Macaca fascicularis: one gene and its partner. The protein of the gene in region 1 interacts with the protein of each later gene in a biochemical or structural test. Links are inferred from orthologs where the notes say so. Each region holds a gene or a part of one and is shown in the gene's direction. Other genes may lie near its edges.

The links.
Region 2: the proteins of GABARAPL1 (region 1) and STK3 form a complex in vitro, tested with the Homo sapiens proteins (2 studies listed by BioGRID and IntAct). The link is inferred for Macaca fascicularis from reciprocal best matches to the Homo sapiens genes GABARAPL1 and STK3.

What each region holds. Positions count from the first base shown.
Region 1 is NC_088385.1:10,692,422-10,696,695, reverse strand, and holds the start of GABARAPL1 (gamma-aminobutyric acid receptor-associated protein-like 1), read left to right. Parts: upstream 1-1,224; 5' UTR 1,225-1,481; coding exon 1,482-1,571; intron 1,572-4,274. UniProt on the Homo sapiens protein: Ubiquitin-like modifier that increases cell-surface expression of kappa-type opioid receptor through facilitating anterograde intracellular trafficking of the receptor. Involved in formation of autophagosomal vacuoles.
Region 2 is NC_088382.1:108,435,365-108,439,642, reverse strand, and holds the start of STK3 (serine/threonine-protein kinase 3), read left to right. Parts: upstream 1-1,259; 5' UTR 1,260-1,441; coding exon 1,442-1,467; intron 1,468-4,278. UniProt on the Homo sapiens protein: Stress-activated, pro-apoptotic kinase which, following caspase-cleavage, enters the nucleus and induces chromatin condensation followed by internucleosomal DNA fragmentation.

The sequences.
Region 1 (4,274 bases):
CACTCTTCTTTTTCTTTGCAATCTCCACGGTCCTCCGTGTCGCTGCCTACCGTACTGGTTGGAAGGTCTTTATTCTTTGACTCTAGGTGGGGAAAGCGAGAACGAGGCTTCGCCGCACCTGCCGCAATGCCCAATCTTCCACTGGCATTCCAGGCAGCGCTTTCCAGCCACGTGAGGGATACCTAACCACTGGAACTAAATAAGATGTGGGGGAAGAATTGAGGTCATCACCTAAATTGCTTGATACTCTCTTTTCCAGAAGACAAGCCTCCTTTCTGAGTTAATGGCAGAAAGTGAATCACTTCTTTCTTTCTTTTCTTTTTCTTTAAGACGGTGTTTCGCTCTTGTCGCCCAGGCTGTAGTGCGATGCCGCGATCTTGGCTCACCGCAACCTCCGCTTCCCGGGTTAGAGCGATTCTCCTGCCTCAGCCTCCAGAGTAGCTGGGATTACAGGCATGGGCCACCACGCCCAGCTAATTTTGTATTTTTAGTAGAGACGGGGTTTCTCCATGTTGGTCAGGCTGGTCTCGAACTCCTAACTTCAGGTGATCCCCCTGCCTCGGCCTCCCAAAGTGCTGGGATTACAGGCATGAGCCACCGCGTCCGGCTAGAAAGTGAATCATTACTGTATTTGATTGTACGTGAAGCCCTCCGTAGTCCTGACTGACATCACGTCTCCTTTGGACCTTGATTACACTCCGCGTCCTTCATCTGACTCCTCTCTTCAAATTCCTGAGTCACGCTCTGTTTATGTTGCTGTTCAGGAGCGAACTGCGGCGCGGCCCAAACACTGTGACGCCAGCGCGGGAGGAGGGCCGCGGGAGGGGCAGCGGAAAGCGCAGAGGGCACGGTGCAAGCACGAGACAGCTCTGCATTGGCCAAAGGGATCCCAGGAGGCCTGGGCCTCTTTTCCCCTGAGGCTGGATCCCAACCAGCAGGAAAAGGATTTTCGCCTTTTGTATTTGTTTTGGGGCCAAACCAAGAAAAACAGTGGAGGGGGAATAAAACATGTTTAAAATTGTTTTTGTCTTAAAACCGTCTTTCACAGTCACAAAATAAAACACAACTAGAATGTTTTGATGTTTGCAATGACATCGATTTTGAAAAACGTTAGCCAGAAAGGAAACGCAGTTAAGACAGCACTCGGCCGCCCCCTGCCCTCGGCGCCTGGGGGGCGGGGCGGGGCGCGCAGGGTGACGTCACAGCCCGACGCGCCACCCAACTGTTTTTGTGCTCGCAGCTCCAGCGAAAAGCCGCCGGTATTTCTCCACCTGGCTCTCCTCTATCTCCGGGCAGGCTCACCCGAGATTCCCCCCCACACCGAACCCCCTCTGCACGCTCGGCCCAGCGCTGTTGCCCCGGGAGCGGACGTTTCTGTAGCTATTTGAGCACACCTTGACGTCGGCGGAGGGAGCTGGACAGGGCCAGCGGCGAAGGAGGCAGGCCCCGCGCGGGGAATTTCGGAAGCCCTGCGGTGCATCATGAAGTTCCAGTACAAGGAGGACCATCCCTTTGAGTATCGGAAAAAGGAAGGAGAAAAGATCCGGAAGAAATATCCGGACAGGGTCCCCGTGAGTGTAGAGGAGCGGGGGGATGGGAGGGGAAGGGCCCGCGGGGGCGGGGGCTGGGAGTCGAGATGGCTTCCCTGGGGCGCCCAGGCGACTCTGGGGAAGGGAGGTGCCGATAATTAGTTAATCCTGAACGCCCTTCAGTGCCCGAGCCAATGGACGTCCAGACTGCGGAGCTTTTAAAACCACATATGCCTGGGGCCTGAACCCCACTTCAGGGCTGACGGTGTTTTTGGGGCCGAGCTGCCATCTTCAGTGACTCAGCAACCCACACGGTCTCAGCAATACTGAGACCCTGTGTGGGTTGAGGTGCGCAAAATAGCGCCCCTGTGTGCGAGAGTGGTTAGATCAGGGCCGTGGATTGGCTCCCTTTAAGAACGCGGGGACACTGTGCTGTGCGGTGAGGTTTGCGCAAACCCGGTCGATTTCTGCCTTGGCTGGTTCTCCTTTAATGAAGTTGACTTTGGCTGTCATATCATTGGGCTTGGGAGGAAAAGGTTCAGAAGCTATTCGGTTCTTTTCTTGCATTACAGGGGGGTAGGGGAGCACAAGACAGTCCGGGCCTGAAAAACAAGGTCACGTTCTCTGCGCAACAGCCCTCATGCCTCATCGTTCTAGGCTCCGGGAAATGTGTGGGGACAGCCAGCCTCCCCCGGTATTGATTTCTGATCACCTGGCACCTGCACGCGATAAGGCAGGACTGAGACGTTTTTTCTGTGTTTTGGACACCGGCTTAAGTAGTTAAAACTAGCGCAGGTAGTGAGTAGGAACAGAGAAGAAACATTAGGTGTCTTTCACCATCCGGGCGTTTTCCCCATTACCCCCTCCCCCGCCCCTTGCCTGGTGTTTCTCTAATGTGGGCTGCGCAGCCGAATTGGAGGGCAGAGTATGACTTTTAAGTGGTAAAGGGACCAGCAGCTGTTGGATTTTGGAAATGGAGGAGCAGAGATTTTTAAAATTGTGCTCTTTATCTTCAGGTAGGAACATCAGGATTACATGTCACATCATGGTAAAATAATTGCTGTTATCTGATGTCTTATCTTGATTCGCAGCCACTCTGGGTTTCTTCTCTAATCCTTACCTAACGTTCGTGGTTTTATAGCTACCAGAAGCCAGCAGGGCCTTAGCCCAGCAGTAGAAACCTCTTGTACCCCTTTTCCTTTAAAAAAAAAAAAAAAAAAGTCATTAGGGCTCTTCCATTCCTCAGAAATTACCAAAGGGTTTTCAGTTTATAGAGGGGTGAGCTAATCCCTTACTCGGTAAAGGATCCTTTACAAAATACTTTGCTGGTTTCTGGACCTTGGATACCTGAAAATTTTGCCGAGTTCTGGTGATACCAATCTTTAGAGCAATGATATTTAAAAAATACAGTCATATTTTACTAATAGTTTACAGTAGCAGTATAAGTACTCAGTCTGTAATCATTCGCTTAATCCTTACACGATTATAATCCCCGTTCTACAGACGGAGTATTCAAAGCACAAAGAAATGCGGTAACTTCCTAAAGGTTTCACATTGCTGATCTGTGTTTGAGCCGGAATTCTAACCCTGTCTGACGGACTGTGGAGCTCTCGGAGACCTTAACCTCCGTGCCATACTGTTTCTCAGTTTCTAATATAGTTGTTATTAACCAGAATTAATGACGTGCTGTGGACTTCACACTGTTAAGTATTGGAAATAGATAAATACTTATGTGTATTCTGAATATTTCAGTGCATTCTGTTCTTTTCATGCTCATAGTTTGGTGTTAAATGTTTTACTCCTGTGATAATTTTTAAGCCATTAAGACTGTCACTCAGATTTCAGCTTCCCTAGGGTTATGTTTTAACCAGCGCTGAGCTGCTCCCAAGGTGCTCAGTCTGTGACCTTCTTTCTAGTTATGACGCAGGTTCCTTGATTTGGTTCTAGTTCTGGGAATTCACTGCATCCTTGGGCAGAACTTTTAATCTTGCTGTGCTAGATAGAGTGCCTTGTTTACAGAAAAGAGGGTTAGAGTAGTGGTTCCTAAAGCCCATTCCAGCTTGACCATTGGTGTTATTCAAGCAGTGGCGTATCCTGACTGCTCGCATAACCAGAGTTTAGTCCCACCAATATTTCTTCAGAGCTAACAGTTGAAAAGAAGAGGTATGCTTGTGCCTTCAGAGAGGAGGGGTTGGTGGGATCTTGAAATTATCTTCAAAGACACAACATATCAAAAAGACTGCTAGAAACAGATTGTCTATTTTAAAAATTCATAGGTCTATTGAGTATTAGTCACATTTTACAAAGAGGAAAACTGAGACCCAAAGAGGCAAAGCATCTAGCCCAGGGTCTACCATAGTGAGGAGTAGAGTTGGGATTCCTGGAAATTTAACCTTGGTTCTGGGAAACCAATCCTTTAATAATTACCCCTCCCCCTTTTCTTCCTCTCCAAACCCCTGCCTTCCCTCCAGGTATTGCGGTCTGCTTTATCACTTTCTTTTTCTGTCTTCCTTTGTGGTTTTTCTCTTTTACTGCTAGGTCTCAGAGTTCCTTTGGGGCACAGTGCTAGCCTCTTTCTGCCTTTTCCTTTTAATTCCTGGCTTACATTACCCTATTTCAGTTTTTATTTTTAAATTTAAAATGTGATCATGTCCCTCTGGTCTTCCTGATTCAGGATTTTTTCTACAAGAACATAAGTTTTTGTTTTTTTAAACTAATTTTAATCTGTTCCTTTTAATTTAAAAG
Region 2 (4,278 bases), on another chromosome or scaffold:
CATTTCCTTTATTTAGCATTATCTTCATATTTATTGTTCTAACCGCCAAGAAAATTCTTATAACTCTACATCTTGACAATTTCTTTCTTTCTTTTTCTTTTTTGAGACAAGGTCTGCTCTGTCACCCAGGCTGGAGTGCAGTGGCGCGATCCCGGATCACTGCAACCTCTGCCTCCCGGGTTCAAGTGATTCTCTTGCCTCAGCCTCCCAAGTAGCTGGGAGTACAGGCGCATCGCCACGCCCGGCTAACTTTTGTATTTTTAGTAGAGACGAGGTTTCACCATGTTGGCCAGGATGGTCTTGAACTCCTGAGCACAAGTGATGCGCCCGCCTTGGCCTCCCAAAGTGTTGGGATTACAGGCATGAGCCACCGCGCCCGGCCCATCTTGACAATTTCTGACAAAAACAGGTAAACTCATGTAGCAGCTGTATATTGTTATGTGAAAGGTATCTATACATGGAATTTAAGGTTAAAAGTATACCCACAATATGGATGCATGCAGTGGTCAAATTACAATGGGATGAGGACTACTGGGATCAGGTTAGGGGAGAGGACCAAAGAGGGAACCAAGCACACTTTTCTTGAGTATTCTTCTTGGCAGCATAATTTGTGCAGGCTTGCCAGGTTACCCAATGGGACAGCTGCAAGGACCCAGTGCAACTGAATTTGGTGCACCGAGAGATCTCACTGCATTAATTATTTTCTCGGTAATTAGATGTAATTATTGTGAAATGTAGCGAGGAGCTTGTCTACAATAAAAATCAAACAAGAATTTCCAGAAGTATCCCTAGTACTGCGGCCTACACATGCCAAATGGCTGGGGGAAAAACATAACCGATAATTATAAACAGAACTAGAGAGGGAAGCGTGGGCAGTTAGAAAGTAATACTTCAAACGGATTCACACGATGTTTGGATGTATCGTTGGGAAAGCCAAAGAAATGAGTCAAATTGGATCAGGGCAAACCGTATCGAGGGCAAGCGAGGGGCGGAGCACTGGGCCAGCTCGGAGGGACTCGCCCTTCCCCAGGCTAGAGCGGCTCCGGCCTCGCCCCCTCGCTCTAGCCGAACCTCCTCCTTTTCCCGGTCACGGGGCTCTGGGGTCAGCCCGGCCTTCGTCCCCAGCCCCGCCCACCCGCCGCGGCACCAGCCCCGCCCGCCAGCCCAGGCCGCGGCAGGCTCCGCCCCCCGCCGCGGCGCCCGGCTCCGCCCACCTTCTCTGGGCTGCTGCCGGAGGCAGGCGACTGGCGGCCGGGGGCGGGGCGGTAGGAGCAGCGCTCCGAAGCGGGAGGGAGATCCGCCGCGGAGTTACGGGAAAGTTGGTCCGAGTTCCCAGAGTTTCCCTCTGTGGTTCCTTAGGCTCGGCCAGCCGGTGCCCGGTCTCCTTTCCTCCTTTCGGCCTTCGCAGTCCACCAGGTCCCTCTCTCTGCCCCCGGCCGCCATGGAGCAGCCGCCGGCGCCTAAGAGGTAACGAATCGGGGAGCGGGAAGAAGGAGGGAAGCGGCGCCGGCGGCCGCGGGGCGGGGGTGGCTAGGCCAGGCCCTGCTGCGACCCTCTCCCTGCCCGCCGGGCCCTGAGCCGGGCGCGCCGAGGTCGGGAGGCGGGTCCGAGTGTCCCGCCGAGTCCGTCTACGGGGCGAGGGGGCCTGAGGGGAGTGGGAGCCGGAGCCTCCCCTGCGGCCGGCGGGCCTGGCGCGTGGAAAGTCGGGTGGGCAGCGCCGGGCTCCCTGCGGCCTGACCTCCCGGGGCGGGTGGGGTGATCCCTCGTAGCAAGTTCACAAAGTCTGGGAGACTTAAAACCAGGGAATTATTGGTCTTCTTACAACCACGTAGACTTTCTTGTCAAATGTTCTGCATAATACTGCCTTTTGTTTTTTTTGAGAAGGTGGTTTGCTTACGGCTTAAGGAATTAAATATTAATAGCTACACAGTCTGTAAAACATTGTGGATGTGCTGCTCTGACAGGTGTTACTCCGCCTAACCCCTCAAGTTCAAAAGTATTTATGGATTCAAGACAGTGGGAAGTTTAAATTAGAACCCCCTCCCCCAATATAGATTTGCGTGTAAAAATAGTGCTGCTTTGGTATGGTATTTACTGTTATTAATGGTTTATATTTAATCTTTGATACCTGTGTTGGAAATGTGTGCATACAAGAGTGGGATGTGTTTGAGCTAATATTTGCGATGATGTTAGGAAGCCAAATCTGGGTTGTCCATTGACAGAAGTTCATAATATGCATTCCTCTCTCCCCAAGAATGAGTTAACGAATTGTCTGATGTTGCTAAAACATTTACTCAGTCTTTCATTTTTAAGTTTTAAAATAAGGATAGTAATCTCTCAGATAGTGCTGTTGTGAAGATTAAAGAGATCGTTTGCTTTGACAGCTGGAGATCTTTAGATGAAAGGTGTGTTCAAGAACGTAGGATAATTGAAAAGGTAGGAACTTTGGGGGCTATTGTGAATTGTATGACTAGACAAGTGAACCTTGAGGCCTGGAAGCCATCTGTTCAGGTGAAAAAAGGGGGGAGTCGTGAAGGAGTTTCCAAAAGGGACCTGCTGTCAGAGCCCTTGAGTAAGTCAACTGATAGATTATTTTCTAGCATTTCGTAAGTTACCTGCATTCGACTCACTGGGCACCGTTTTAATACAATATAAGAGAATTGGGCACTTTTTTCTTTTCTGGAAGAACTGGAAGGAGCACTTCTGAGAAAACACAATAGGCCGTTGGAGCAACTGAATTGAAGTGCAGCTCTCTATTGATTAGCTGTACTGTAAGTTATCAGAGTTTCATTATAGGTGTAAGAGAATCCTTGCCCTTGTAGAGACATTAGAGAACCTGGAGGAGTCAGGGGCAGGTGTAGGCGGTAATTCTGTGGTGATTTATACTTTTCAAAGTGGTGGTTGCACATTTAACATACTTATTTTTAGCTTATTCAGAGAGTCTTATTTTGAAGTAGTGAACAAAAATGCCACAAAGGCATTTTGAAAAGGCAAAAGGTATGTGACAGCAATCCCTTATATTTGAATGTCTCAACATTTTAAGAATTTTCATATTCATAATATTTAATCCTCACAGCAACCCTATGTAGTAGGTTGGATTATAGGCATTAATCCTAATTTATAGATGAGGATGTTGAGGGAGTTTGCCACATGGAAGGCTATGACAGGAATTACTGGCAGTTTTGTCCCTATTGATTATTATCTCCTAATAATGAAATATAGCTACTCGTTTTGAGGTCATCCTGTTTGCCAGGAAATTTAAATATACATTATTTAAATCCTAAGAAATAGTAATCCTGGCACTGCTACTTATTATGCTAGTTCTAAGTTTAATTTTTCCATCTGTGGAAATGTATTGTGAGGATTAAATGAGGTGATATGTAAAGCACTTGGGACAGAGTAAGACCCTGTCTCAAAAAAAAAAACAAAAACAAAACAAAAACAACAAAAGATAATGGGGACTAATTTAATAAATATTTATGTATCACAACTGAGCTTAAGAAATAAAATTTGACCAATATATTCGAAGCCCCTATGTGTTCAACAGTGTTAGTTGTTAACTTATGTTTTCTTTATTATATGAGGCTCAAAGAGGCTAAATAACTTGATCAAGTAGAGAAGGTGCCAGAATTCTGCATCTGATTGGCTACAAAGGCTGTGCACCCTCTCATTGTATACAGTGATGGCTCTTTTCGAAACTGTCTTTCTTATTCCATGATGTAGTGGTCCTCTTTTTTCTGTAATCTCCTGGTCTCTGTTGCTTATTCTGCTCATAATGCCTATAAAAGTGCCATTTTGCTTTTCTGCCTTGAATAACACTTCCTTAGTGCTGACTTTTACATGGCCTTATCGATGTTGTTGATGTTCGGGTATGACTAGAAGCTGCTGCTCAGTTGGCATTTTTCATTTTTTAAGGTAGGTCTTACTCTTTCATTAACCCATCTAGTTTGTCACTACAGCCTATCAAATTTTCTATTGAAAAGTTGGTGGATTAATTTTTTCTCTTTTCTTTCTCAAGAGTACTACCCCATAAAACCCATTCCATGGTTTTATGACCCTCACTTTTGAATTGCAGCAGTACCTTCTAGCTGGGCACTTTAGTCCAGTGGTTTTCAAAACTATTTTGTTTTGTTTTATTTGTTTTGTTTTGAGATGGAGTGGTGCAATGTCGGCTCACTGCAACCTTCACCATCCTGGTTCAAGCGATTCTCGTCCCTTAGCCTCCTGAGTAGCTGGGATTACAGGTGGGTGCCACCATGCCCAGCTCATTTCTGTGTT